Canis lupus familiaris: one gene and its partners. The protein of the gene in region 4 interacts with the protein of the main gene of each other region in a pairwise test. Links are inferred from orthologs where the notes say so. Each region holds a gene or a part of one and is shown on either strand. Other genes may lie near its edges.

Region 1 (4,100 bases), on a different chromosome or scaffold from region 4:
ACCATTTGCTCTTCATTTTTTTTGCTTTACTATATAAACGAACCCCGTTATTTTAAAAATTAACTGTTATTTGGATTGGAAAGGAATAAATGTTAATTAACAACTGTATCAGCTGTTTCTGGTAATGGAATTACCTCTTGTTCAACTTTTTCTCTTGATCAGTGGGAGTTACCAATTATTCTGACCTACTCCTGATGAATGCGCACTATGTACTGTACACACACACACCCACAAATACCCCCACCTCACCTATGGGATTAATTGGGGAAATGGTGTTGCTTTGAGGTATCACAGAGGTTATGATTTTTAATCATAAGTTATTCTTGGTAAGGATCCAAGCATGGATATTAAAATTTTCATTTTATGGTAAAGTATAGCCCTACTCCATAATTAAATTCCTGTGGAATATTTTTTTAAACAAGACTTACTAATTCGATAGAATATAGTTAGCATAAAATGGAGGACCACATCTGTTTTATTCTGCATGTGTCTCTGGCACTTAGAAGTGACTGACATATGAACATTGACTATTTATTGAGTGAAGTGCCGATATGGTAGATGTGATACTGGCTTCCGTAGAAGGCATCATTATAGAACAGTAGTGATTCATTCCTTACGTGATCCTTCTGCTTTTGTTATATGTGGATTTTGACAGTCCCAGATTCTGTATCAAATTTGCATTTACATGTTCTATTCCTATATGAAATGAGATACAGGCAGCTCACTGAAATTATGTCCAATTACTTGTAAGTACTTTAGCCAATCTTCTTCATGCCATATCACATGTAAAAGTAGATAATATTGACATGCCTGGGTGGCTCAGTGGTTGAGCTTCTACCTTTGGCTCAGGGCATGATCCCCGGGGTCCTGGGATCGAGTCCTGCATCAGGCTCACTGCAGAAAGCCTGGTTCTCCGTCTGCCTATGCCTCTGCCTCTCTCTGTGTTGCTCATGAATAAATGAATAAAATCTTTAAAAAAGAAAAAGTAGGTAATATTTGAACTAAGGCAGTAAAACTGCTTCTGGTACTGGGGCTTCTCCAGGGGATCACCCAAAGTCTGAAGGGATCAGTGTCCACATGACCCCCACTGTGCTATAATCCATGAGCAGCATAGTAGTAGGGAAGCTATACTTTCTAGACCTCACTGTCTGTAGAAGTGTAGTATAGTGCCTTAAAATCTCTTATTTGTTTTTTTGCTTTCCTTCCTTTCTTGTTGTAGCGTGGAGATTGGAGAAAGCGTACGTGGAGAGGATGTCTACATTGTTCAGAGTGGTTGTGGCGAAATCAATGACAATCTAATGGAGCTTTTGATCATGATTAATGCCTGCAAGATTGCTTCAGCCAGCCGGGTTACCGCAGTCATCCCATGCTTCCCTTATGCCCGGCAGGATAAGAAGGATAAGGTGAGCGCAGAATCTCCTTTTTAAAAAAACTTAAAAAATCAGGAGAAGCACTTGCCCAAAGTCACACACACACACACACACACACACACACACACACACACAAACACACACACAAATCCTTAATCCTCAGACGCATATTTAGAGGGTATTATTTTTTTTATTGCATTCTCATAGGTATTACCCAGTGTTCAAAAACAATCGCTATGTGGTTGGTTTATATAAACCAACACATTGGTAGTTTGTATTTGTTCCAGTCATATGTATGTGACTTTCATTTAGCTCACTATGACTTTTTAATTGTGACAGTAGGACTAAACACCAGCTACTGTGGAAAAGATTTTTTAAGCTATGGTAGATCTCCTGGGACCCTCTTGGGGTTTCAGCTATGACCTCTTCTGTAAAACTTAAAGTTGGTTACATGAATGCTTGGTCTCATTATACACATACACATCTCACCTCATTCATCTGGTATATTAGAGGTTAAGGTATATACATAAAACTTTGCCAGGACTATTATAATAATCAGTGCCCAAAGTTTCCTTACAATGTCTGGGAGAAGGCCAGATATTTTTATTCTGAGAGATTGTAGTGCTCCTACAGAGTATAAAGAGCATGGGCTTTGCTATTTTATATTGCAGCCAGCATATTTACCTGTTATTTAAGGAAGCTGAAGTTGCTGGAAGGTTGACCTCCAGATGAGTGGATGAGTGGTACTAATTTACAAAATAAACTATAATTTCTATTCTGTGCTAGAGCTTTAAATTTTGACCTGTTACATGTCATACAGGTTTGAGTATGTATGTATTAAAAGAGATTTTTAAAATTCTTGTGAAAAAGATTTTTTTTAAGTCTACCTAGTTTAAATAATTGATCATTGGAACACTTGATAGGCTGAAAATGTTTACATTAAGTTAAGAAAACAAAAGGTGGGAAGGTAGTTTTCTTTTTTGAAAAACATCCTGATTTGAAAAAGTGATATTGCACTTAATATTTGTGCTAGATTGTGATTTACTCGTAAAGCCAATGGCCATGGCACCTTGTATGAATTTCCTTGTAGTGCAGTACCTTAAACATAGTAAGTGCACAATAAAGAAATGCTTCTTGACCAAATGGATTGTGTCTCAAAATGGCTTTTTGGTTTTGTTGTTCTTTTCTCCCTCCCCCCCATTTAGAGCCGGGCTCCAATCTCAGCCAAGCTTGTGGCAAATATGCTCTCTGTGGCAGGCGCGGATCATATTATCACCATGGACCTGCATGCTTCTCAGATTCAGGTATCTGGAAGCTAAATATTTGACATTAGAAAGGGACGGGGGAGGAATAATAATGATAATGCTAGAGACTGCAGAGAAGCAAACACATGCCCAAATACAGCTCAAAGTAACTAGACATTGACATCACTGTAAGCATCCTTACCTGAAGCATTGTTCCTGGTCCTAGTTGCTTTGGGGTAGTTGGATAAGGGAGGTAGTCTGGAATTCTGAGAAGAGCAGAGGCTTTGGTTTCAAACTGAGGTTGAATCCTGGCTCTGACACTTGGCAGCTTTATAACCTTGGGCAAGTTATTTAACTTCTTTGAATACATGCCGCATTGTTAACTGTGAGTATGAAATTGATGGTAGAATGCATGGCCCAGGATGGGTGTTTAGTAAATAGGAACTGTTAATGGTCATCATCAAATTGAGAACCACAGCTATCAGCATACTTTCTAGCATAAACATAGAATAAAGGGAGCAGAATACTACCTTATATTTTGTACTGCTTAAAGGGACTTTCAGATCACTGTTGGAGGCTTGCAGCAATCCAATGAGGTACATGGGGTAGGTGATTCTACCCATTCTGTAGAAGAGAAACAGATCTGTTGAGAAGCACCACTAATCTTATAGCACCTAGTATTGGAACACAGATCTCCTGATTTCTCTTTACTCTGTGTGGCCATTTATAATAGATATATTCCACTAAGCTTGTGTATCAAAGCATCTCTAACTGGGTTAGCTAACAAGCCAGCCCAACATTTGGTGGCGTAAGGCAGTAAGTATGACCTCACAAGTCTGCATGTTGGGCCGTTCTGGTATGGGCTGAATGGGCCGATCTTTCCAAGGGCTCACTTTCACGTTCCTATGAACAGCCATGGGTTAGCTGAGGGCAGGCTGCTTCCCTGTCGGCTGGCCTCTTGTGCAGCCCAGGCCTGAGGAGCCCATTCTAGTCTGCTACACTGGGCATGACTTCTAATCTGTTGGAATGCTAACAGGAAGGTATTCTTTGGGCAAGTTAGTAACCTCTTTGTATCAGCAGTCATTTGTAAATGGAAGTGCAGAAAACAAAGCAAAAGTGACTCAGCTTCTTTCTTCAGGGCTTTTTTGATATCCCAGTGGACAATTTGTATGCAGAGCCAGCTGTCCTGAAGTGGATAAGGGAGAACATCTCTGAGTGGAGGAACTGTACTATTGTCTCACCCGATGCTGGTGGAGCTAAGAGGTATGGCCAGAATGCTTATTATTCTCAAAGTACTACGGAAATCTTTCAGACAGTTACATCAGAAAGTAATATTTTTCTAGCTAGTGACAGTTATTTTAAGTATGGTTGACCCTTGAACAACATGAGGGTTAGGGGTATCAACCCCCGCCACCTATGTGGTCAAAAATCCACATTAACTTTTGACCACCCCAAAACTTTAACTACTGGGGGCCAACTCTTAACT
Region 2 (4,783 bases), on a different chromosome or scaffold from region 4:
TCTCTCCTCCTTCCTTCCCCAACCACTGCCTCTCCTTTTTTATACCTAAATTAAGCCTAGAGTAATATTAATTAGTTTGAGCTAAGAATTTGTTTAAATAACCAATGATTCCCCATAGCAATCAAAATTTCTTAATCATTTAGACTAGCAGTGTCCAACAGAAATATGATGTGATCATATGTGTATTTAAACTATCCTAGAAGCTGCCTTTAAGAAGTAAAAAAAAAAGTGACAATAATTTTAGTATACTTATTCCAATATATTGACAATATCAATGATAAAATGTCAGCATATAAAAATTGAGGTGTTTTCATTTTTTGCTGCTACCACTCAAAATCTCGTGTGCATTTTATTTTTTTAAAGATTTATTTACTTTGGGGGGTAGGGACAAAGGGAGAGGGAGAGGGAGAGAGAGAAAATTTCCAGCAGACTTTGGACTGATGGAGGAGCCTGACCCAGGCCTGGATCCCATCAGCCTGAGATCATGACCTGAGCTAAAATCAAGCAGGATGCTTAACCAACTGAGCCACTCAGGCACTCCTCTAGTATGCATTTTAAATTTACAGCATATCTCATTTCAGTCCAGTCACACTTAAAAGGCTCAATAGCCACAAGTGGCCTGATGACTAATATATTGGACAGTGAGGTCCTAGACTGTGAGCTATCTGAAAGCAAGTTATCTCTGTCTCCAGGGCCTCCAGAATAGGAATGCAGTGAATATTTTTGTAAGGTATACCAGAAACATAAAAGGGGTTCTCTAAACTTTTGCATGCTGATACTTTTATGTTTTTTCGACCACTTTCCTTTAAACTTCCTTTTCAGTCTTGGAAAAAGTGGAACGGGGGAGATTATGCTCTTTCCAGCCTATCAAACAAATGAATACCGGGCTTCCTGACTCCCAGAAGGCCTGAATCATCTTAAATGTTGACTCATGAGCCTAAGGTGACTGAAATGTAATGTGAATCAAATTTGCCTTCCAAGGCATCATTATGTTTCCACTTTCCTCCTCTTTCTCTCTCTCTCTTTGGGTGACTCATCCTTCTACCACGTACGAGTCCAGCAGCAGGCAGATCCCCAAACCCTCCTGGATGAGCAGACTTTGAAATGGGCCCAGTCCTCCAGACGGTCCAAGCCCTGCTCTGTTTTGCCTACCTCATCCAGAGTCTGCAGTTTGGACAGAGAACGACCTTAAAGCTCTCCAAAAAAAATGAAAATAAAAAAAAAAAATAAATTTTTTTTCTTTTTAAGGTGGTGAAAGTAGTAGTAACGAGGTGGTCCAGTCATTTAAGCTTTAAAAAAATAATCTTTTAATTTCAAAATCTTTTAATATTTAGCGTACACTCAAATCCTTAGGGCCTACACTTCATAGTACCTTTCAACCACTCTGGGTTTTTTCCTTTCCTGGGAGGAAAGTTACCACCCCCAATCCCCCAGGATAACGCCCTTCCGGGGGCGCGGGCCAGGAACCCGCAAGTCCTGCGGCAGGTCGCCCGCCCCCGCGCAAGCCCACGCGGCACCCGAGCCGCCCGCTGCCCTCGGGCTCTGGGCAAAGCCGCGACCCCCGCCCACCCCGCATCTGACCCAAGGTGCAGGGTGGGGCTCTCAGCTCCAAGCCCCGCCCACCGGACTCACCCCAGCCGGTAGGAGAGGGGAAGTCCAAATGGCCCCACCCACTTTTCTCTTTCCGTCTCTCCATTGGGCCGGATGGTTGCCCGTCATCTCTATCCCGTAGGCGATTGGCTCCCTCCCTCCCGCGCCAGTCCCTGCCTCTCCCCGCGCGGGGAGGGTAAGTCACGCCAAACGGGGCGGAGAATCGGCTGGCCTCTCTCCTTCGCTCGCCTGGGCGGTGGCGGCAACTGGGGACGGGGCGGGTGGCGCATCACGGGCGCAGAGGCAGGAGGAGCAGTCTCATTGTTCCGGGAGCCGTCGCCACTGCAGGTCTCCGGGCTCTCTCGGCCCGGCCCCTGTCAGTCCTCCCCAACCCCCACAACCGCCCGCGGCCCCGGGGAGCAGCGTCCCGTGGAGACGAGCCGCTGCAGCAGCATCTCCGACCCGCCGGCCATGGAAGACATGGACCAGTCGCCTCTGGTCTCCTCGTCCTCGGACAGCCCGCCCCGGCCTCAGCCCCCGTTCAAGTACCAGTTCGTGAGGGACCCCGAGGACGAGGAGGAAGACGAGGAGGAGGAAGACGAGGAGGACGAGGACGAGGACTTGGAGGAGCTGGAGGTGCTGGAGAGGAAGCCCGCCGCCGGGCTGTCCGCGGCCCCGGTGCCCCCCGCCGCCGCCGCCGTCCCCGGCGCGCCCCTGCTGGACTTCGGCAGTGACTTCGTGCCCCCCGCGCCCCGCGGGCCGCTGCCGACCGCGCCCCCCGCCGCCCCGGAGCGGCCGCCGTCTTGGGACCCGAGCCCCACGTCGCCCGCGGGGCCCGCGCCCTCCCTGCCCTCCGCTGCCGCAGCCTCGCCCTCCAAGCTCCCCGAGGACGATGAGCCTCCGGCCCGGCCTCCCCCTCCTCCCCCGGCCGGCGTGAGCCCCCAGGCCGAGCCCGCGTGGACGCCCCCGGCCCCGGCCCCCGCCGCGCCCCCCTCCACGCCGGCCGCGCCCAAGCGCAGAGGCTCCTCAGGCTCAGTGGGTGAGTGCCGCGCCCTCCGCCCCGCGCAGCCCCGCGCTCCCCTCCGTCTTTTGTGTGCACCCCCCGCTGCCTCGGGCGGAGCCCCCTTCCCCGCCCCGAGGGGCTTTGTCCGTGGACCTCCGGGCGAAGGCGCCCCCCCTGGCAGGAGCCGTCAGGAGCAGGGTGGGGCGGCCGCGGAAACCCGGGCTTGTTCTTTATTGTCTGTCTCGGAGTCGGGGAGCACGTGCACCCCGCCTGCTCCCGGCCTCCTCCCTCTGGTCCCTATCCTGCTGCGTCCCGGAAGTTAGGCACCCGCCCGTACCGGGAGCTCGGTTGGCCTCGAGGAGCTAGCGTTGTGGATACGGGGGGCTGGCCGGGCTCCCGGGTGAGGATGGAAAGGCCTTGGCGCCCGTAATCTTTTGTCTGCCAGTCTGGGTTGCTCCCAGGGAAAAGGCGCAGTTCTGCGGCTGGTCCGTCTGGCAGCCGTGAGCCCTGCGCTGCACCCCCACCCCCGCTCACCTTCTCCCTGGCCTGGGTGTCACCCCCCACCCCCACCCCCCCGCAGCGCCTCATTCCCCTCCCTCTCCACTCGCGCTGGCGGGGAGCTGGCCCAGTGGAAAACATGCACCCTGACCCAGCCGCCGCGACGGGAGAGCGCCTCCAGTGGTGTGGCGCGTGCGGATTTGGGAAGGCGAGAGTTCTGGCAAAGTCCTGCCACCGCCCAGTCTCCTCGGGCTGTGATGTGGCGACTCCCCAGCTAAACCGCGCCGGGGAAGTGGGATCTGAGCATCCGCGGTCCGAGGAGGCGCAGTTCTCCCACCGGGTCCTGGCTGCTGAGCCAGAGGATTTGCTGCCAGGGTGGTTTGGGCTCTTGAATCGGAGAGGAAAAGAGGCAAAATGGTTGACATTCTTAGGGAAGGGAAACCTGTGGGGTTTGTTTGTTTGTTTTCCTTTTTTCTTTTTTTTTTTTTTCTTTTTTTTCTTTTTGGCCGCGAATAGGCCAATTGACTTTGTGGCGGATTAGCCAGCCAGGAGACTTAATGTTTTGAGAAAGATTATTTTTTTTTCACGTAGCGGTTAGAGATACTCTTTCTTAGTAGTTACATGTTTTAGGTCAAATCTGCAATAGTAGTCTGTAAACAGTTTCCAAATTTTTTTTTTTTTATTCGCTTTAGTACTTGCATGTATGTATATATTTAAAGGAACATTGTTTCCTTACCCTTTTCCTTTTTGGGAAGTTGTTTATTTTGGAAGAGAATAAAATCAAATTTGTTAGAGATGGAGAATCTTACAAGTTATGAGTTTATTAGCTTAAGTCTTGTTATTTTGGGGGGCAGAAAGTGTCCTACCAGCAAGCAGTAGGACCTCTTTTTATGTATAAAAGAGCAAGAATCTGGTAGTGTGACTGCCTGCTGAGAGATCTTTATAGCTTTCCTTGTAGGATTTTACAAATGGTTCATTTTCCAGGAGAAAATGAAATTTTTTTCAGTTCATTCCTCCACAATGGGGAAGTAAGCCAATTGTGATGTTTCTGAATAACGTTTTGATAATGACATACCCCAAAGCGTTACTCAAAACACTTTACACAAGTAACTCAAAACACGTTACACAAAATCATTACACTAAAGATATTAGAAGATGAAGAGCAACTCAGTGTTTCATTTTCTGAATTAAGTGTGTAAGAGAAACTAAGGTGAGGTAGAAAAATAAAAAGTGATAAATCTGCAAATGGAAAATCTAATGATTAACAAAGGAATACTGATTTGTCTCATCTTGTATTCCAGCATGGGGACAAAGAGGAATTCTGATCTTTGAACATTAGGGATTCAGGAGGTGACATTCTCTTGGAATTTTGACTTGTGGAATACTAAGTTTGGAAGACAAAGGAGAGAATATTGCTTACTCAGGGACTCTTATCTCTATAAAGTTCCCTAATTCTGTATTGATGATAGCTATTTGGAAACCTAAGTGCTTTAGTAAATCACTGAACATCCATGATTATAGTCATGGATAGTTAAGCCATCTCTGTGAGTCTCGGGTTCTTAGCAGTTTGTTCATTCATTCAATTGATGATTGATTGATTACCTACAAAGAGACAGGTTCTCTTCTGGGCTGTGAGGGTATAGCAATAAGCAAGACACATTTGTTCTCCATAAGGGGAGTACAGATAATAAG
Region 3 (4,637 bases), on a different chromosome or scaffold from region 4:
TATCCAAGATCATTAGAGAATATGGCATTCACATGATCATTTGAGAATATGGCAATAACTAGTTTTTGTATTGGACTGGGGATAGCTTCCATAGGCAAAAGACTGGTGACAATTTTTTACATTATTACTACCGTATTTGATTGTTATTTTAGGTACCTGAGTAGCAGTACAAAATTTCCTCTTTGCTTATAAAATGGGTTCATTATCTACTCCTTTAGACATTTCATTATGATTTTTTAATTTTTAGAGTTCAAAAGATATACTATACTACAATATTCAACAGATAATACAATTTCTGGTATCACTCGCTTTTATCCAAAGCAAAATAATTTGGCTTTGTACTCTTTCAAATTTATTCGTTTACAGGGTAAACCTGGTTTTGCAGAATTTAATAAATGGATGCAAGCAGCTACCTGGGAAGGGCAAAGCATCCAGTTCACTCGAGGATCCTGTAATCTGATACTAATAATGTTGCTCTCCCTTTCAGTCCTAAGTATGTTCCATAATCTCAGTATTTCCTAGCCTCTCATTGGGACAGGTTTTGTTTTTGGCACTCTTATTACCGAAATTAATCTGTCTTGAACTGTTGGGTTGGCTAAGTTTTCTATTTCCCATTTGTTAAATCACTGTGGGAATGGTATCAGGACAACTATGTCCTGAATTTTCAAGGTCTTTTAAGCCTATTTTCTGCATCAGTTGGCTTTCCTCTCTTCCAGTCTCTCCCAGGCTTTTCTCTTTTCCCCTTTTGCTTAGCTCCTTTTACACTCAAGCCGTGTAGGGGATTTAAATTCCAACCCGGAACTCGGAATGCCGCGCCTTGAATGACGGGAATCGTAGTTTTCGTGACTCCTCCCTAATCGCTTTTCACGCCGATTCCCTTCCACAGTGAAAAACGACAACTCCCAGAATGCGCCTGCGGGGTAGCCACCCCTGTGCGCACGCGCCCTGAGGCCGCAGAATTTGAATCGGCGGCGTTGTTATTGACGCCATATTGGGGCCGGCGGCGGGTGGAATAGTCGTACAGAGGAGGGGGAAGCGGCTGGACGTGTTCGATTGAGCTCCTGCCGCCGCCTCCACCTCGCAATCCCTCCACATCGACCGCCGCTCTCAAGCTGCTGACCTTACTCGGGCTTACTCGTGGCCGCGTTCCAGCCTCATACCTGACGGGGCTGGTTTCGACTTCCGAAGGGAGCCGGTCTCAGCGCAGGAGCGCCTCAGGCGCGGCGCAAAGCTCGAACGGACGGCGGGGGCGGCCGGAGCCTCTCCCGGGGGAGCTGTGCCTGAGGAGGCGGAAGAGCCCCCCTGACGCGGCTGTCGTGAGCGGCCGCCACCGCCCCTCCCGCTCTCGCCTGGGCCGGCCCGGCCACTGCCCCTGCCGCGGCGGCAGCGGCGGCGGCGGCTCTCGCGTCCTCGCCGGCGCTGCACCACCCCGCCTTCCTGCTCTTGAGCCCGTCGGTTAGGCTCTCCTCGGGTCCCCGCTCCCCCCCCGCTTCCCTCACCCTCCCCTCCCGTCACCTCTCCCCGACCCCACCCGAGTCCGGCCTCGGCTGCCCCGGCCATGGCGTGCGGCGCCACTCTGAAAAGGACTCTGGATTTCGACCCGCTGCTGAGCCCAGCGTCCCCGAAGCGGAGGCGATGTGCGCCATTGTCGGCGCCCACCTCGGCTGCTGCCTCTCCGTCGGCGGCGGCCGCCGCCACCGCCGCCTCCTTCTCGGCCGCCGCCGCCTCGCCGCAGAAGTATCTCCGAATGGAGCCGTCCCCCTTTGGCGACGTCTCCTCCCGCCTCACCACAGGTGGGACTCGGCCCCGCGGCCGCCGGGGTGGGCTGGAGAACGGGGGTCCCGGGACGCGGAACCCGGCCCCAGGGATGGGCTTGCCGGGTTGGCCGTCCTCCTTCGCAGAAGTAGCAGTGGAGCGGCCGCATTTCTTCAGTTGGGTCCTCTGGCCCCGGCGACACAATAGAAGTGGCCTGGTGTCAAAGGGGTGGGGGAGTCGGGAGGTGGGGAGGGCAGGGGCTGTGCCTTGCCGGGTATTGTGGGGAAGAGGAAGATCCTTTTCTTTGGGCTGAATGACTGGAATGGAGTGTTTCCGTAGTCTGGAGAGCCCCAGCGGAAATGATCAGAGAGGGTGATATTATTCATAAATTTAGGCGAGAGAAGAGTAACGTTTCGCCCGAATCTCGATATCTGTCTCCTCGAATCGATTGGTCGCAGCCCTTAACTGTGGGACTGGGTGGTTTGAGGCGAGGCAGCAGCCCCTCCTCCAGTTCAGACATGGCTGATTTTAGTACAGAGGGGGTGGGGGGTGGGGATGGATGTCACTGGGGCGAGATCTAGGCCTGTCATTAATCACCCACAAGAACGCCACTTTGGCTGAGTCAAGACCTGTTTCCCTAGCAGGGTCAACAACAAAGAAAATGCTCTTCCCGAGTACTGTAATATGATCGTACTATGCGTCTAGACCCTGAGAAACTTGAACTTTTAATGAAAAGCGAATTGTACTGAAAATTGGGCCTGAGTAGTTGCTTCTGGTTGGAGGTGCTTTATTTCTCAACAGGGTACGGTGGGGTGGCGGGGGGTGGGGGGGTGGAGAACAGCCTAGGCCTTGAGAGTAATAAAGAAATCAACCCAAGACTCTAAGGCACTTAAGACTGTCTTTGCTTTTCATCTTGAAACATTTCCTGAAAGTGACTATGGGGAAATGCCTTTTGGCTGCTTTGTACTGCATGTGTGTGTGCCCAGTTTTTTCTGTACTTTGAAAATCCTTGTGTGCCCCTGGCACAGTCCTAGGATAGGCTTTTTGTGGACTGGTAGTGTAAATCTCTTTGTGAGTATAGTATGCAAAGGTTTCATATTTGAGCCTTTAGTGATATCATTTGCAGACAAAGCCTTTTCATAGTTTAAGTGTTTTATTATCAGCTTTTAAAAAACCCGTGGGCAGTATATACCTCTATATTTGGTAACTTCCATTTGGAATTGTTTCGTTCAAGTCAGGTTTTTAAATATCCTTCCCCAGATTTTTAGGGACACCCTCAATGCCTAGGCTACCATTTCTGCTATTAAATATTTGACTAACTTAAGGATACACTATTTTAGAGTTTTAAAGAGTTTTCAGAAGAATTCTCAGTTTTATTTAGTAACTCTGCCTAAACTGCCTTGTATGTAAAGGCATTGGTTGATTGACTGTTAGGCTTTGCATTAAAAGACAATCAGTGTTATGAGCTGGTGATTAAATTATTTTTAGATTTTTGTCTTTTTAGTCAAATGATACTGAAAATTGAAATGATACCTAGGAATCCGTACTTAACAAATAAGGCCACTTAAAAATAGCCCTGGCTAACTAGCTATAAATTTCAGGGGAGCCGGTGAATTAATACAGTGTTAGGTTTGGGAGTTTAGTGTTAGGTTTGGGATATACTTTAGTATATCTCAATGCTGCAGTAGTCTTGAGCATATATGATTAACCAGCCAGGAGCTATATTTGTCTTCACTTTAAAGGGAATTTATTCAGGATTGTGATCTTTTACAAATCTGTCATTTCATTGATGCATTTGTAGCATTGGTTAATGCTGTTGGCTCCACATTGTCTCAAATTTCAATTGAGTGGATGATAATTTAGTAAATGACTGGAGTAATTGAAATTGTTTAAATAAGCCTGATGTTTCAAATTCATGTTTTCCAAAATATTGCTGTCATCTTCGGGGTGTTTTTAACATCTATTCTGGAAGTTTGATCATATCCTGAACTCTTAAAATCACAGCCTAATTGATCATTTTGAGCCTGCTAAAAGATTTAATTTTTTCAACCGACTTGAGTATTAACAGAAAAAGTTGACTTGAGGAAAGCAGTTGAGATTGTAAAGTTTTGAATTGCTAAAATTTACTTTTTTTTTTACTGTAATTTTGAATGATATTCTACATGAAGTTTAATTTGGCTTTTGTTTTTAGATGGCCAGCTTGGGTAGGCTCCTGTGTGGTTTTTGTAATGATGTCATAATGGGAGCTGCAGTGTTGTGCAGGTATAAAAGACCTTTTCAGTTATCATGTCCCCAATCTTGGAAATAATTTTTCCAAGCACTTAATTTTTAGATTTTTGTTTTAACAGTGGTGATTCTCAAACTTTGCAAGAGTAAATATCTGTATATCTGTGGCTGAAATAAATAGCTAGGGTTGGAAATGGAAAGTGATTTACCAAGTTGAGATTGACTAGGACTCTGCAGAAACTTTGTTTTCCTTTCATTTCTGTCCGTTCAAGTGTAATTTAAAAATTTAGAGCTAGAGTACTGAAATTATTTTTTTTTCCAGAACATGCATATAATTTATTGTTTTATCATTGTTCTTTTCTGGAAACTTAGTGTGTTTTGACGTGTAGTTGAAATGATGTTCTGGCTTTACTAGTTTGAGGAACTTGGGATTTCAACCCTAGTTTATTTTAGTCATCCCAGGAAGGTGATTCGAAAGTTTGACTTGATGACTGTTATTTAAATTATTTAAATCTGTATTTTTCAAACTGTTGCAACTTAATGCCAGGGAAAAGGAAAGGGCTGGTTAAAAAAAAAAAAAAGTTTTATTGGAACCAGCCAGGGTCATTCTCTTCCCCCCCCCCCCCCCCAAAGTATGGCTCATTGCAGGCTACAAC
Region 4 (4,100 bases):
TCCAGAGAGGGTAGGTGACTTTTCCAAGGTCACAGAGCTATATAAAAGCTAGAAATCACTAATCTTACAACAAAAGACCACATATTTTTTCTAAAGACATATGTTTTATTCCTAATTATAGGAATAATTATTGCCTTCAAGCCTTTCTTGGTATTTTATCATAGATCTTTCAGAGGAGGTTATATCATTTTTATTCACACCAACAAGGTGAACAGCAAATTTTCCTGTATCTTACATTAGGAACTACATATGAAGTTCTGAAGTTATGTTCAACCAGAATTAGATTTATAGCATTTTGTGGAGTGATCAGGAGGCAGACTTAAATCACCTCCTTTCTCTAGCATGGACTGTTCCTTATAATTTTATCAGACCTCTTTGTTAAAGTGGATTTTTAAGGTACTGTCAACACATAGGTGAGGGCACTGCAGTTTGCAGTCGTTGAACTAGGACAGGCAGTCAGTGTCAGAAAAGACTCCCCTCCCTGCCTTTGGGCCTAGCTCTGCAATAGCCATAGGATCTCTGGTAAGTCATTGAAATTTTCTAGACTGGATTCCTCATCTGGAGGAACTAAGGGAGTTAAAATCATTATCTCTCAGGGCCCCTTCCTGCTTTATGACTATAGGATTTCACAAAATTGTTTTCTGACAAGGTAAAATAGCCCATTTCCTTGGTTTTACCATATAAAGTACTGTTGGTATAGCTAGAGCAGACTCTACATTTAGTTCTGATGTAAACATGAATTCTTGACATGAAACATCACATGCTTTTATTTCAGGGTTAACCTCCATTTCAGCTAATCATGGGAGAGATTAAAGTCTCTCCTGATTATAACTGGTTTAGAAGTACAGTTCCCCTTAAAAAGGTATGTATGATTTTACTACACCTCTTATTTGCAAAATCATGTATTGTTCTTGTGACTTAGATGTTATGCCTTAGTAGTGTTTGAGAGTAAAGGTTATTGCCAAGTATCCTGACTCTGGGTTGCAGAGCGTAAAGTTCACCTCTTTGTCAAGCGCTATCAGATTTTGAGACTCATTCAAGAGTAAAAGTGGGTGTATAACTATACTCATTATTTTATAATTGCTTTTATGTATTCAAGCAAGCAGAAATATGTGTACTCTGTTTGGTGGAAAGCTTGCAGTAACAACAACTATATAGTAGGTACAGTCAGATTCTATTATAAAGCCTTTTCCTATTCTTCAGATTTAAGAGTTACATTGGGTAACATTATAAATCCTATATTTGCAATGATAGTTGTCTTCAGGAAACCTTATTTGCCTGGGATGTCCAAAAACCCTAAGCATTTATCTTGAAGTTTGACTGTTGACTCTGAGCTCCTAATTAATCCCAAATGTTTGGGGATCACATTAACAAAAGCTAGTTAAGATGATCTGAAAATCATCTATATCTTGTTAAAATCATTTTGTCAGGGTAGACAGCTGTGGAAGTACGATACAGATTTGAATTAATAACATAGCTGCTCTCCATCTAGAAATTTGAGATACAGTTTTCTAAATATAAACAGGATATCTGCCGTATAACTGTCACTATAGTAATAGCACTATTTAATTCTTCTAACAGTTTTAACAAAGCATGGGTAGCTATGTGCCCATTTCACAGATGAGAAAACTGAAGTTCAGAGAGGTTAACTTGTTAAAGGTCACATAGCTTGGTAGAGTCTGGATCATAATCAAATTAGTCTGGCATCAAAGCCAGAAGTACTTGACTGGTAACCAAAGGGAGCCTCCCTTCCTTCTTGCTCCCTGGGAAACTACCGCCCATGCCAAAAGATGATTAGCTCCTGGGGTCCTCTACCTTGTCCCATTCCCTCAAGTAACTCATGTGAGCTCCTCTTGATGGACTCACTTTCTCAGCAAGCTGATCACCAGACCCAAAGCAACCCAAACTTCTTGAAATATTCTTAGAAGTAGTTATAGCAAGTAGCTTCATTGATGTACTTTTCTCCAGCTGTCAGTTCAGTCCATCTGTCCGTGATTGTGATAAGTTTGCTTGAAATTTCATGGTGCTAGATTTTAAATTATCAAAGAGATACTGTGTCTTCTAAAATTATCAGATAGAATTCTGACAAAATTGCCATTGAAAGAGCTCTGAGAACATTGAAGTGATAAACTTATTCCAAATGAATTATTAAAATCATTTCCTACAAAATTTTAGAGATCTGAATATCTTATCTCTGGGAATTTTATTACTACAAGATTGGGATTTACTGTGTGCACTGTCAAAGGCTGTTAAGAGAGTTTTACCACAATTATAGCAAAACAAACAACAGCAAAAAAAACAAAACCCAGAAAAACCGAAAAACAATGAAAAGCCAAACTGTGAGGAGCAAAATACAAAGTGCAAAAACATGAGTATGAGCTATTATTGTCATCATCTTTGACCCAGGGAAGTCCAAAAGGGAATTGTTAGGATCCACTGGACTTTACCTTGCCCTATTTGACTGCTCCCAGTGACACCTGTGATCCCAGTCAGTGTGCTGCTGTCTGCAATGACACCATGGACCCGCAGTATTTCCAGCTAGGAGCTCTCAGAAAACAGAATCTGGAGGCCTTGAATTTTTTAATGTAAAAGTAGGATAAATACTGATTCACATTGGCAAAAGTTCAGGCAGTTAATGTACTTTTCCAAATACCACCAAAAAGTCAAAGAAAACAAAAAGTAATCACACAGCGAATAATACTAACACTGAACACAAAATATCTGCCAAACTCAGCACTGAGCACTTGACTTGTCTCAGTTCATTTAAAGCTCATCCTTTTTCCTTGTTGTGTAAGGACCACTAATTAAGGAAGGTTTGTGATGACCTTCCTGCTCCCTACCCTTTTTTCCCAAGAAAGCCAGTTTTTTCCCTGTGCCCACTCCCCACTCCTGACTGGTTTGAAACATTCTTCCAGGACAGGGACACCTACAGCGGCAGCATCCTTCCTATCTTAGCAAAAATCTCTCCCTCAGAGGTGTTGCCTAGATCAGGTTCCAGAAGCATCTCCTGAGTGGTACCGTCTCTCCCTAGTTTGTCCTGAGAGCTTGGAGTCTTTTCTCCCTTCTGAACAGCGCTGGAGAATGACTCCGCAAATTGCCTCCTAGACACACACACACTCACACACACACACACACACACACACACACACACACACACAGCCAGAAGTATGGGAAAGAAATAAGATGCCATGAACAGTTTACTGTTTAATGATAAATAAAATAGGCTTCATATAATCATGGATGGGAAGGAAAATTGAAAACTGATTTAAAAAAAAAAACTCTTTGGAAGAGTATGAAGCAATTCTGTGTATAATATGTTAGCACTGAGGAGGGCAAAAAGAGACCAAATGCAGTTTATTATATGTGCTAGTCTGGTGTGATCCCAGGATACCTTGTAACCACCAAGGCATTAAAGTTGTCAGAGAAATTATAGTAGACAGTAACAATATAAAACCAAATCCATAAAGTTTTCCATATCTTTTTCTTATAACTTTCCCTCTAGATTATCGTGGATGATGATGATAGTAAAATATGGTCACTGTACGATGCCGGCCCCAGAAATATCAGGTGTCCTCTGATATTTCTTCCCCCTGTCAGTGGAACTGCAGATGTATTTTTCCGGCAGATTTTGGCTTTGACTGGATGGGGTTACCGGGTTATAGCTGTAAGTATTGTGGATTCAGTATTACAGTTCAAGTCCACATTTCGTGGGGGTGGGGTTTTTTCTTTTTTATGTGTGTGCTTATGTTTCTGATTAATTATAATGCGTATGGTTTTTTTTTTTTAATTGAAGGAAGCTACTGTTTTCCTGTTTTTTTGTTTGTGTTTTTTTTTTTTTTTTTTTAAGATTTTATTTATTAGGGCAGCCCCAGTGGCTCAGTGGTTTAGTGCTGAAGCTGGGGTGTGATCCTGGAGACCTGGGATCGAGTCCCACATCAGGTTCCCTGCATGGAGCCTGCTTCTCCCTCTGCCTGTATCTCTGCCTCTCTGTCTCTCTCTCTGTCTCTCTCTCGTGAATAAGTAAGTAAAATCGTTAAAAAAAAAAAACGATTTTATTTATTATGAGCTGGGGGAAGGGGCAGAGGGAGAAGCAGACTCCC
Region 5 (4,100 bases), on a different chromosome or scaffold from region 4:
TCAGTGACTTGAACACAGTGGGAAATTGCCTCATTCATCTCTGTGCAGCACCTGCCCCTGCTCCAGGGCGGAGAGAGAGAGAGCGCGAGAGAGTGTGTGTGTGTGTGTGTGTGTGTGTGTGTGTGTGTGGTGCCTCCAACATCCCATGGGCCTGTTGATATAGGTGAGCTCTAAGATGAGAAGAAAGTCTAACATAAGCTCAGATACGACTTGCACTTAAGCAAACAGCTTTAAACTCCAAGGATCAAAGCTGGAGGAGTCTGCCCTTTGTAAATTCAGGGAATAACAGAGAAGCTGCTATGCCTGTTCAAGTTAGCCATAATTTTTTCGGCTACAGGTGTCTCCAGCGGCACTTGTGTGAGATTAAACTAGTCACAGAGCAGCTCCAGGTCTTTCCAACAGCCTCTCTCCTCCCCTGACATGACTGGGGAAGAGCAGAGCCATCCTTCATCTTCCCTGCTTGATACATTATTAGGTTCATGATACATTAAGGGCTTCATGAGACATATCAAATGAGGAAATTTGCTTTAGCAATGACCCTGGCTAAATCTCTAACCCATATATATAAAAAAAGTACTGTTATTCTTTTATAGTTGGTCATGAAAAGTGAAAAATATACTATTGCTCTTTCAAGGTGACAGTCATTTTTTATGCCTATCTGTGTAGCATTTTACAGTGCTCCTTAAACAGGTCCTGCAAGGTTCTCTCCATACTTCCTTTCTTTTCTGTCCCCCTTCCTTACTTTAGATTCACCAGAAGGCACCAACATGGTGTTTTTAAGGAGCCTAGGGAAATGCCCCATCGCTTTTTGAATGTACAGAGAACCACTGTGGAAGGTGTAGGGCAACTGGATTCTAGTCTGGGAATTGGAATTTCTTAGTCTCCAAATTTGCATAACAAATGAGTTGCTTTGGTTGGGGGTGCTTCACAGGCCATGAAGAAGGCTCATGACTGGGTGGAAGAAAATCAAGCTACAGTGTCAGTAGATATGATGGAAGAGTCGGAGGAGAACACTAAAGAGGAAGAAAAGGAAGAGAGACCAGAAAATCCCAAAGAAGATAAAAAAGAAGAAACGAAAACTAAGACAGTTGAGGTAAATTTATTGGAGATTAGCCACCTAAAGAGCACTAATATGTTTTTTAAAGATTTTATTTATTTATTCCCGAGAGACACAGAGAGAGGCAGAGACACAGGCAGAGGGAGAAGCAGGCTCCCTATGGGGAGCCCGACGTGGGTCTTGATCCCAGGACCCCGGGATCATGACCAGAGCCAAAGGTAGACGCTCAACCACTGAGCCACCAAGGTGCCCCTAAAGAGCGGTAATATTACTTTAGTTTTGTTAGCTGAATTTCAAGTGAGCAGAAACCATTTCATTTTCGTTTGTACCCTGTTTCAAACAGTATAGAAATATGAGGATTAACGTGATAAACACTAAAATTTCTCAGTGCCAAGACAATTCGGGACTTAGCATAGATATTGTAGTTTTTCTCCAGAGCTTCACGATGATAATTGAAAGGAAAAAAAAAAAGATCTTTAAGAACATAGTTGATTTATCATTAGGATAAAATTCCATCTGATATGCAAATGTGTAACTATAAAATGTCTTTATGCCCCATAAACTAATGAGGTAATTGAAGCTTTTTTCCAAAAAATTTCACGGCCGTAGTTTTTAATCTGTAATTTAATAAATTTATGTGTGCATAATTTATAGCCTGCCTGTGTTCACAAATGAGTTTGCAATAACTTCATCTCTACATTGAATTTCCATTTTAGAGAAAGTAACTTTTTATTTTTTTTCTTTAAGATTTTATTTATGTATTTGTGAGAGAGAGTGAGTGGAGGGAGAGGGATAGAGAATCTGAAGGAGACCCTGCGCTGAGCGTAGAGCCCAATGAGGGGTTCAGTCCCACAACTGTGAGATCATGACCTGAGCCAAAACTAGGAGTCAGATGCTAAACCGACTGAGCCACCCGGTGCCCCATGAAAGTAACTTTTTAAATCCTGTCACTTTAAAGACAAATGGCCATTGAGGTTTATTTATTCGGTTGCCCTTCTGAGCACCTCCCTGTAGTGTGTGCAGAACTGCTCTGAGAAGTAGGGACACAGCTGTAAGGCTTGCATGTCACCTGGGACCTGGAAGCACTGGCATTTGATGGCAGCATTTTTACTTAGAAGAGTCTCAGATACACTCAGTTAATCTTTGGGTAAACTTTTCAGGACATTTTTTTCAAGAATTACATCTTTTTTTTTTTTTTGACATTATAGGGTTGTTGTTGTTGTTGTTGTTGTTGTTAAGTAAACTCTATCCCCAATGTGGAACTTGAACTCACAACTCAGAGGTCAAGAGTCACATGCTCTACCGACCGAACCAGCCAGGTGCCTTGCGTCACAGGTTTTTTTCTTTTAAAAAAAGCTTCTGCTCGGTGAATAATTGTCTTACTTGCATTTATCTATTTCAGGAAGTATATATGCTATCCATCGAAAGTCTGGCAGAAGTAACAGCACGCTGTATCGAGCAGCTTCATAAAGTAGCAGAATTGATTCTTCACGGACAAGAAGAGGAAAAACCAGCGCAGGACCAAGCAAGAGTGCTGATAAAGTAAATGTTACTTTTAATTCTTATTTTTCCAGTTTTATGTACACAAGCCATTCAAATGCACACACACACACAAGCACACCCATGCACCCACACACCTGGGGCTACTAAAGATTTAAATTACAAGTTCTGAATTTGCATAATGTTGTTCTGTGGTCATCTTAGGAAATAGAGTCTCTTAGGAGTCATAAGATTCTTAGCTGAATCATGTTAGCAAGAATAATAATAATTAACTAGGATTTATGAAGAGATTTAAGGAAAGACACACTACATCATTTCAAAGGTAAGTGTTTATTTTCGTAGATCGAAGTCTTAGAAGCACGGACCTTTAAGGGAAATCGCATTTTTAACGTACTACAAGAATAGAGAAAGAACACCTGGATGCGACTTATACCGCTTTGCGTATTCTGAATTCTGGCAGTGATGGTTGTTGATGTAAGCCAGTTCCCTGTGGATTGCATGTGTGTGCATATGTGCTGTCATATGTTATATTCTTCAACAAATAGTAGCCATTATTATTAGTTTATCTAGTGAAATAGTCATGTGTATCAGTGTAACCTTATATACATGAAAATAGTTGGTATGAAGCATATATTAAAATAGTTGGTATGGAGCTGAAAAACAAGCTGTTAACTTTACGCGCATGACTGTATGCCGTGGTATAGAAAATTAGCACAGATCCAAGTACCTTCTCGTTACTACACAGACACAGAAGTCAAAATAGAGCCTCCTAAAAATATATGAGTACAGGCACACACATCTCAATACACCCATTTGCTTTGCTAGCTAACTAGTCTTTGCTTATTACTGCATTTGGCCTTGTAGATTGGGGAGCAAATGTTTAGTCAAAGAACCTTCCAAAAAGTCAATGTTAGCATCTTTGTCCTACTGGTAGCACTTCTCCTCACTTGTAAGGATGTCTTACAAGTCTAGATTTCCCTATGTGAAGATGAAAGATATTTTTTTAAAGATTTTATGTATTCATGAGAGACAAAGAGTGAAGCAGAGACACAGACAGAGAGAGAAGCAGGCTCCCTGCAGGGAGCCTGGTGTGAGACTAGATCCCAGGACCCCAGGATCACGACCTGAGCCAAAGGCAGGTGCTCAATCGCTGAGCCACCCAGGCATCCCCAAAATGAAAGGTATTATAAAAACCGTACAATCCTGCACTTAATGGACTTAGGAAGAATATGTACTTACTTCAGTGTGTAAAAGGAAGAAGAAAAGGAAAAGAAGGAAAAGTTTAAAGTATTGAGGAAAACACCTAAGTGCTCTTTTATGTATGTGGCACTTGTTTGTAAAGGGAGAATGTTAAGAAGTCTCTAAGCATGTATATAGCAGGACCTTACTCTTAGCACCTCTGATTTCCAGTCCAGATTGTCTCAACCTTACCAAGTTGCCACGAGCAAAAGGTAACAAGACCTCACATTTGTCTGTATAATAAGTGCCTTTCCACCCACCTGCCCAAGGACATAGACAAAAATGGCTCTGGGCTATCCCTGGA
Region 6 (3,009 bases), on a different chromosome or scaffold from region 4:
TGTCCTATAAGCCGGTCTGTCCCGTGTGCCAGACTTCCTATGGCATCCAGACAGGCAATCAGCCAGAGGGAACCATGACTTTCGCATTCCTAAAAGACTCACTTCCAGGTTATGAATCCTGCGGTTCCATTGTGATTGATTATAACATGAAAGGAGGCATACAAACAGTAAGTGTTTCTGAGGTACATGGGTTTCTTTCCAGGATGCTAGAATTATCAGAGGAAAAGAGACTCTCTTGTCTCTGGATTCCTGAGGAATTATTTCCATAAATGGAAAAATACATGGAATGTATTTTCATATATATTTCTATATTCAAGGGCCTTAAATAATAATAATAATAACAACAACAACAACAACAGTAATAAAGGTACCAATGTTTGCTGATAACTTAGGTATCTTTTGTGTCTGCTAAGGCAGAGAAGAAGTGGGTGGTGACTATGTGTTAGAATGGGGCAAGTCAGAAGATGGATAGTATTTCTGGCAAGAATTTAGGGAAAAAGAGAAATAGGAATTATTGCAAATATATGCAAACCTTCGGTATTTTTTTTTGTATTTACTCCATCTGCAAATGAGTACATCTATCTGTATAGTAAAATTCAGACTTGGGGAGTGTTTTCATGTGATATTTTTTTTTTTTGTCTTCACACAGAAAGAGCACCCAAACCCAGGAAAGAAATACTCTGGAGTACAACGAACAGCATACTTGCCTAATAATGAAGAAGGAAATAAGGTTTTGAGACTGCTTTGTAGAGCCTTTGAGCAAAAGCTGATTTTCACAGTGGGAGAGTCTCGAACACTAGGAGTCTCAGATGTCGTTACATGGAATGATATCCACCACAAAACGTCCCGTGTTGGAGGGCCACAAATGTGAGAACCTTCTGAAACATAATGATTGCTAAGCGGGATTTAGAGGTTGTAAAATATGGCAGTTTGAGGAGGTGGCTGTAAGGAGACTGTAGAGCAGTGGGATTGGATACAGTAAAGTATTTTTTTGAAATATAGTTGACATACAATGTTATATTAGTTTCAGTTGTACAACAGTTGATTTGACAATTCTACACATCGCCCAGTGCTGACTATGATAAGTGTAGTTACCGTCTGTCCTTTATTTTGCAACTGGTAGTTGCACCTCCTAGTCCATCTTTTGCCTACCCCCCACCCCATCCCTAGCCCCCTTCCCCCAGCAATCACCAGTTTCTTCTCTGTATTTATGAGACTGTTTCTGTGTGTGTGTGTGTGTGTGTGTGTGTGTGTGTGTTGTATTTTTGATTCCACATATAAGTGAAGTCCTATGGTATTTGTCTTTCTCTGATTTCACCCAACATAATAACCTCTAGGTCTATCTATGTTGTTGCGAATGGCAAGATTTCATCCTTTTTCGTGGCTGAGTAATATTTTATGTATTATTTACTTTGCCTTCTTTTAAAATCACCCTTTCTTTTACCCTCCCCTCCCGAATGGTCCACAGAGATCCTAAAATCAGTTGGCCAATAGTACTCTAGGAAAAGTCTCAGTTAGTAGTGGTGGAAGTTGTATCATCAGCAATCCAGTTGTTCTTTACTTGCCCTTTATGAAACCCAAATAGAATGCCTCAGACCCTTTAGTGTTCAAAAGGGAATGCATCCTAAGCTTTTCAAAAATGTCCCAAATTTGAAAATTCTTCTGTAGAATATGGTTGCCCTCCATAAAAATATAGTGTAGTTATTAGACTTTAGGAGAGTCACTGCTTACCGTGAGCTGAAAATAAAAAGTCTTGTTCAAGGCCAATCCTGGGCAGACAGCTAGGCTCACTTACCAGGCAGAGCACTTACATCTGCACACTTACAAGTGATTATCAGTCATCTGTCTTCAGGATTGTTTTTGAATGTTTGCAACACTACATGTTAATCTACTGTACAGATTTTTTTAAGACCATTTGTGAAGAAGTTAAGGACCTTTTTCCTTCTGCAGGTATGGCTACCCTGATCCCGATTATCTGAAACGTGTCAAACAGGAGCTGAAAGATAAAGGAATTGAGTAAGAAGACTGCAGGAAGGATGTCTTGAGCCAAGCTATCAAAAGACACAGTTGAAGAAACATCTTTTTAAACTTTTCATCTCCGAAAAAAAAAAAAAAAAACTTTTCCTCTCCGGACGCCTGGGTGGCTCAGCGGTTGGGCATCTGCCTTTGGCTCATGATGTGATCCTGGGGTCTCAGAATCAAATCCCGCATTGGGCTTGCTGCCTGGAGCCTGCTTCTCCCTCTGCCTGTGTCTCTGCCTCTCTCTCTCTCTCTCATGAATAAATAAAATCTTTTAAAAAATAAATAAAAATTTTAAAAATAAATAAAATAAAATTTTTCATTTCAAGAAGTCGTAGATGTAAGAGTAAGAATCTCCTAGTCTGTCATTTCTGGAGTGTTACTTTTTACGGAAGATAAAAGCTCCAAATATCTGTGTAATTTTATTGTGCCTCATTCTTGGGTCATCTTTGGGGGAGCAGGGGGTGGAGTGTCGTGAGTCTGAAATCATCTTCTGTGTTCTTCAGTTGAAATAGTAGCTGACAAGTGATACTCTTTTTTAAAAAATTTTAAATATATTTTATTTATTTATTCATGAGAGTCACAGAGCGAGAGGCAGAAACACAAGCAGAGGGAGAAACACAAGCAGAGGGAGAAGCAGGGAGCCCAATGTGGGACTCGATCCCAGGACCCGGGGATCATGCCCTGAGCCGAAGGCAGACGCTCAACCGCTGAGCCACCCAGGCGTCCCTGTCAATTGATACTCTTTTTTATTGCCATTTCTGAGGTAGCCTTTTGTTTCTTTGTTTGCTCCTTAAGTACCCTGTAAGTAAAATCCTAGTGTGGATGGGGGTGGGGAGGAAGGCTTTGATTATGGAAAATTAGAGACCCACATTCCCCACCACCACCACCCTCACCATGGCCAGAAAAGGGGCCAGAAGCAGAGATTGGGCAACCTCTGGTAATAAATGGAATAAGGCTATTTTTCACAACACAGAGCTTGATACACAG
Region 7 (4,100 bases), on a different chromosome or scaffold from region 4:
GTCCCCTGACCTGTTTTGCTGACATTGGTATCAGTGAAATGAATGATAATAAGGAAGGCACACTTACCTCTTTGGAGATGGTATGAAAACAGAATGGAATGCAAATATTTTGTATGAAAAATTAAGAATGGGCCCAAAAAGTTTTAAATAGGATAGAACAATGGACCTAGACCAAAAAGATGAAGTTCCAGAGGTAGGTTTTTATGGTCCTACCCATGGATGCTAAAAACCAGCTATAGATTTTTAGGATTGAATCCCTCTAGATTAGCAGTGACTCCTATAGTACTTTGGCATTTCAACTGATAAAGAATTAACAGGATGATTTGTGCGGCCATGGAAAGGACATTCTTAGATCATGTAGTTAGAGGTGTAACTAAGTGAATGGAGGTCTTGGTTTCACAGGACCCTGGATGATGCACCTAAAGCTGGAGTATTGTGTGCACCTGTGAGTAGCCTGTTTAGGAGAGACTTCAGGTTCCCCAGGGCATGGATTTAGATGGTGGGAGTTTTCTAAACATACTCCAACAGTTGGGAGAATATGAGTTCTTTAACAAGGAAAATAGGTTTGGAGGAGGAAGGGAGTATAGTAGCTCTTTACAGATACCTGAAGGGTTGTTTCTGGTGGAAGAAGGATTGTAATGCACTGCTCTAGAGAGGCAAATCTCCACTCTGGGCTAGTTTGGTGGTAGCCCTGCATGGAGGGCTGTTGGGTTGCCAAGAAAGTTGATGGATCTCCTGACACAGGGAGATACTGTGTAGATACTCCTACTCTAGCAGTAGGAGCAATACTTGGAAGACTATTAAGCATCATAGAGACTACAAGCCTATAAAATCTTTAAACTCCTTTTGGACCTAGAAGTTAATTAATGGATTTTTTCTAAGATAAAATACCATTTACTTCTAAGGTCATCAGTCTTAATTTTTTATAGTAACAGATGTGAAGCACATGAAAATTGCATGCCTCACTCTGGGAAAATGCACCTCACGTGGGTGCAGTTAGCACAGTTTGTTAACATATTTATATGTATTGTTTAATCATACAGTCCTGTATTATGAGTCTGAATTTGTATGATCATGTCGGGAGAAGAGTCCACATTCTGTGCAGATGGAAGAGTATAAAGGCCCCAAAGCAGGGAAGGAGGTGACCAGTAATGTGAAGGATGAGGACAGTGTGCCTGCAGTCTGGAGAGTAAGAGGATAAGTAGTAGGAGGTGAGGCTGGAAAGGTGTGTAGGGGCTGGATCATGCAGGCCCTGAAGGCTGGGATATGATTTCCTCCAACTTCTTATTTTGAAAGTGTTCAAAACTATAGAATAGTTCTAGGTGTTGTAGAGTGGGTCACCTAAATTTGCCAATTATTATCCTTTGGTATAGTTCCATTTTCTCTTTCTCTCATACACACACACACACACACACACACACCACACACACTTCTCTTTGTTGAACCATTGGAGAATAAGTTAGCACATGCCATGTCTAAAGCATGTCATGTTTAAAAGCACATATCTTCCAAGAGCAAAGCATATCTCGGATATATTCACAATACTAAGAAAGTTAACATGGATAAAATACCTTGACCTAATATACAATCTGTATTGAATCCTTAATTGTTCCAATAATGTCCTTTGCTAACTTTTTTTTTTTTTTTTTTTTTTTTGAGAGAGAGAGGGAGGGAGAGGAAGAGAGAAAATTGTAAGCAGATTCTACGTGGAACTTGAGGCAGGGCTTGATCTCACCACGCCTGAGATCATGACCTGAGCCAAAATCAAGAATTCTATGCTTAACTGACTGAGCCACCCAGGTGCCGCTAGCTTTTTTTTTTTTTTTTTTTTTTCAATCTAAGATCCAGTCAAGGAGCATGCATTGTATACAGATTATACACTGGCATTTTGGGGGTATAGGCCAGTTATTTTGTAAAATGTCCATCAGTTTAAATTTGCTTGGTTACTTCCTCATGATTAAATTCAGGTTGAACATTTATAGCAAAAATACTACATAGGTGATGTAAGCACTGAGAACTACCTAACATCAGGAGCACATGGTATCAGCTTCTGTTATTGGTTTTAAAAATTGATCACTTGGTTAAGGTGATATCTACCAGATTTCTTCATAGTAAAAGTAAAATTTTCCTTTTATAATAAAGTTATCTTGGGGTGCCTGGCTGGCTCAGTTGGTTGAGCATCCAGCTCTTGATTTCGGCTCAGGTCATGATTTCAGGGTTGTGAGATTGAGCCCTGCATCAGGCTGCCTGCTGAACATGGAGCCTGCTCAAGATTCTCTTTCTCCCTCTCCCTCTACCCGTCCCCCACTCCCAGCTCATGTGCACCTGCTTTCTCTCTCTCTTTCTCTCTGAAAAATAATAAATAATCTGGAGAATGGTACCTTAGGATTCTGTGAATATCCTGTTCCCCAACAATCATTCACCTGATGTTTTTCACAGCCATTGGTTGCAAGATAATTATTACTTTGGTGATTACAAAATGGTGACTTTTTTTCTAACGGTATGATTTTTCTTATGTTAGTTGGTATTATTCTGTGAAGAAGAACTTTTCCTTCTCCTCCAGCCTTTTATATCAGTATAAGTATGAACCTGTGGATATTTTAAATTTGAATTTAAGATTTAATATGTTTTATAATCCATTTCTAACATTAATCATTTTATGTTTTAATTTCTCCATAGTTGGCCAGCAGGCACACTATCAGAAAGGTTTCGGAGAAATTTATGGACTGAGTGAATGAAATAATAATATGAAAATTATGAATAAATCTGTATTTTCCATGCTTTTTTCTCCTGAGAACCTCTATTTGTCAGTGCCAATAACATGATTTTATTTTTATTTTTCTCTAGGTCTTATGGACTAATTGGCTCTCATTCAGCAGGAACCTAACAGATAAGTCATCCTGCTGTATGTCAAGACAATGCTTGGTTTTAAGACTGCTCTGAAAATGATTAAAGTGGTATTGCAATGTGACATTGTCAGGGGGCAAGAAGCAGCTTGAGAATTTCCCATTAATCAAATAGCCTTGAAGGAAACTTCTTTCCATTAGGTAGGACTGCATGGCCAGCAGCCCCCACTGAAGGGTTGAAAATGAGTGTCCCAGTGGCTCCGAAGAAATCATGTTACGCTCAGTTGCGGGACAACAGAAATGGAGTGAAAAATAATAATGAGAGTATCCTAAGTCTGGGGGATACAAATGCCAATCAAATCATGTTGGAGGTCAGTTCCTCTCATGATGAGTCCGAGACACGTGACCTGACAGATGAAATTGGAAATGCAAATTCAAGCGAGCCAGAGAATAGTACCCATTTCAATAAGGAATTTCACCAATTTCAGGGCTTTGGGAAAGGATCGCAGGCTGGCCCTACCAGTCTGAAAGATTTTAAATTTTCCCTGACCGTCCACGGAGGACTACATGACGAGCACACAACGGAGAGAGGCACAGATATCCTCCAGACCCCTCGCAGTGTTCAGGGACCAAGTCTGTCAACTTGGAGGAATGTTATGGCTGAGGCCAGTCCAGAGGTTTTGGCTAAAAGGGATGCTGAACTTCCCCGGCATGCTCCTAAGGATAAGTTGGCAAAGACCCTTGACAATGAGGAATTGCGAAGGCATTCTTTGGAAAGAGCGAGCAGCTCTGCCGTTGTAGCAGATGTTCCCATGAAGGAGCACGGTGGAAGCCTTGGTGGGAGCCTGACCTGGCAGCGTCTGCAGCCTGCGCCACTGGACTCCCCTGAAGCCCTGCGTCCTGAGCCCAGTGGCAGGGAGGGGCCACAGAAGATGTTGACAGCCCCCTCTCGAGGAGCAGCTTCTCCTCCAGCTGACAGTACCTCAGAAGGAAAGAGCGTGTGTCATCCTAAACCATCTACCTCAGCAACCAAGGAGACCACCCCTGTAGAGACCCAGAGGGAGAGGGCACAGGGCCCAGACTTGAGCAATGAGAGCACATCACATTCTGCCCATCCAGAGCCTGGTCTGGATTCAGCCTCAGCACTGAAGGGGGTCCTGAGGAAGCCAGAAGCACAATTAGGTCAGGGGAAGGGAGAGCTCAAGCCGGAGCTGAAATTTGTCCAAGCCAGGGCTGTGCAGGAGTTCAAGGCAA

Evidence for each region.
Region 1: the proteins of SPG21 (region 4) and PRPS1 interact in binary tests that used the Homo sapiens proteins (3 or more experiments, as listed by UniProt). The two-hybrid records come from large-scale screens. The link is inferred for Canis lupus familiaris from reciprocal best matches to the Homo sapiens genes SPG21 and PRPS1.
Region 2: the proteins of SPG21 (region 4) and RTN4 interact in a two-hybrid assay, tested with the Homo sapiens proteins (2 studies listed by BioGRID and IntAct). The two-hybrid records come from large-scale screens. The link is inferred for Canis lupus familiaris from reciprocal best matches to the Homo sapiens genes SPG21 and RTN4.
Region 3: the proteins of SPG21 (region 4) and AKIRIN2 interact in binary tests that used the Homo sapiens proteins (3 or more experiments, as listed by UniProt). The two-hybrid records come from large-scale screens. The link is inferred for Canis lupus familiaris from reciprocal best matches to the Homo sapiens genes SPG21 and AKIRIN2.
Region 5: the proteins of SPG21 (region 4) and FAM114A1 interact in binary tests that used the Homo sapiens proteins (3 or more experiments, as listed by UniProt). The two-hybrid records come from large-scale screens. The link is inferred for Canis lupus familiaris from reciprocal best matches to the Homo sapiens genes SPG21 and FAM114A1.
Region 6: the proteins of SPG21 (region 4) and DTX3L interact in binary tests that used the Homo sapiens proteins (3 or more experiments, as listed by UniProt). The two-hybrid records come from large-scale screens. The link is inferred for Canis lupus familiaris from reciprocal best matches to the Homo sapiens genes SPG21 and DTX3L.
Region 7: the proteins of SPG21 (region 4) and MTUS2 interact in binary tests that used the Homo sapiens proteins (3 or more experiments, as listed by UniProt). The link is inferred for Canis lupus familiaris from reciprocal best matches to the Homo sapiens genes SPG21 and MTUS2.

The regions. Positions count from the first base shown.
Region 1 is NC_049260.1:81,769,636-81,773,735, forward strand, and holds part of PRPS1 (ribose-phosphate pyrophosphokinase 1), read left to right. Parts: intron 1-1,219; coding exon 1,220-1,403; intron 1,404-2,575; coding exon 2,576-2,674; intron 2,675-3,752; coding exon 3,753-3,877; intron 3,878-4,100. UniProt on the Homo sapiens protein: Catalyzes the synthesis of phosphoribosylpyrophosphate (PRPP) that is essential for nucleotide synthesis.
Region 2 is NC_049231.1:57,225,164-57,229,946, reverse strand, and holds the start of RTN4 (reticulon-4), read left to right. Parts: upstream 1-1,801; 5' UTR 1,802-2,061; coding exon 2,062-2,629; intron 2,630-4,783. UniProt on the Homo sapiens protein: Required to induce the formation and stabilization of endoplasmic reticulum (ER) tubules. They regulate membrane morphogenesis in the ER by promoting tubular ER production.
Region 3 is NC_049233.1:47,344,562-47,349,198, reverse strand, and holds the start of AKIRIN2 (akirin-2), read left to right. Parts: upstream 1-1,454; 5' UTR 1,455-1,558; coding exon 1,559-1,793; intron 1,794-4,637. UniProt on the Homo sapiens protein: Molecular adapter that acts as a bridge between a variety of multiprotein complexes, and which is involved in embryonic development, immunity, myogenesis and brain development.
Region 4 is NC_049251.1:29,793,969-29,798,068, reverse strand, and holds part of SPG21 (maspardin), read left to right. Parts: intron 1-775; 5' UTR 776-799; coding exon 800-862; intron 863-3,502; coding exon 3,503-3,664; intron 3,665-4,100. UniProt on the Homo sapiens protein: May play a role as a negative regulatory factor in CD4-dependent T-cell activation.
Region 5 is NC_049224.1:74,008,569-74,012,668, reverse strand, and holds part of FAM114A1 (protein NOXP20), read left to right. Parts: intron 1-931; coding exon 932-1,093; intron 1,094-2,459; coding exon 2,460-2,599; intron 2,600-4,100. UniProt on the Homo sapiens protein: May play a role in neuronal cell development.
Region 6 is NC_049254.1:26,315,280-26,318,288, forward strand, and holds the end of DTX3L (E3 ubiquitin-protein ligase DTX3L), read left to right. Parts: coding exon 1-167; intron 168-649; coding exon 650-867; intron 868-1,950; coding exon 1,951-2,020; 3' UTR 2,021-2,174; downstream 2,175-3,009.
Region 7 is NC_049246.1:10,823,158-10,827,257, reverse strand, and holds part of MTUS2 (microtubule-associated tumor suppressor candidate 2), read left to right. Parts: intron 1-2,847; 5' UTR 2,848-3,088; coding exon 3,089-4,100. UniProt on the Homo sapiens protein: Binds microtubules. Together with MAPRE1 may target the microtubule depolymerase KIF2C to the plus-end of microtubules. May regulate the dynamics of microtubules at their growing distal tip.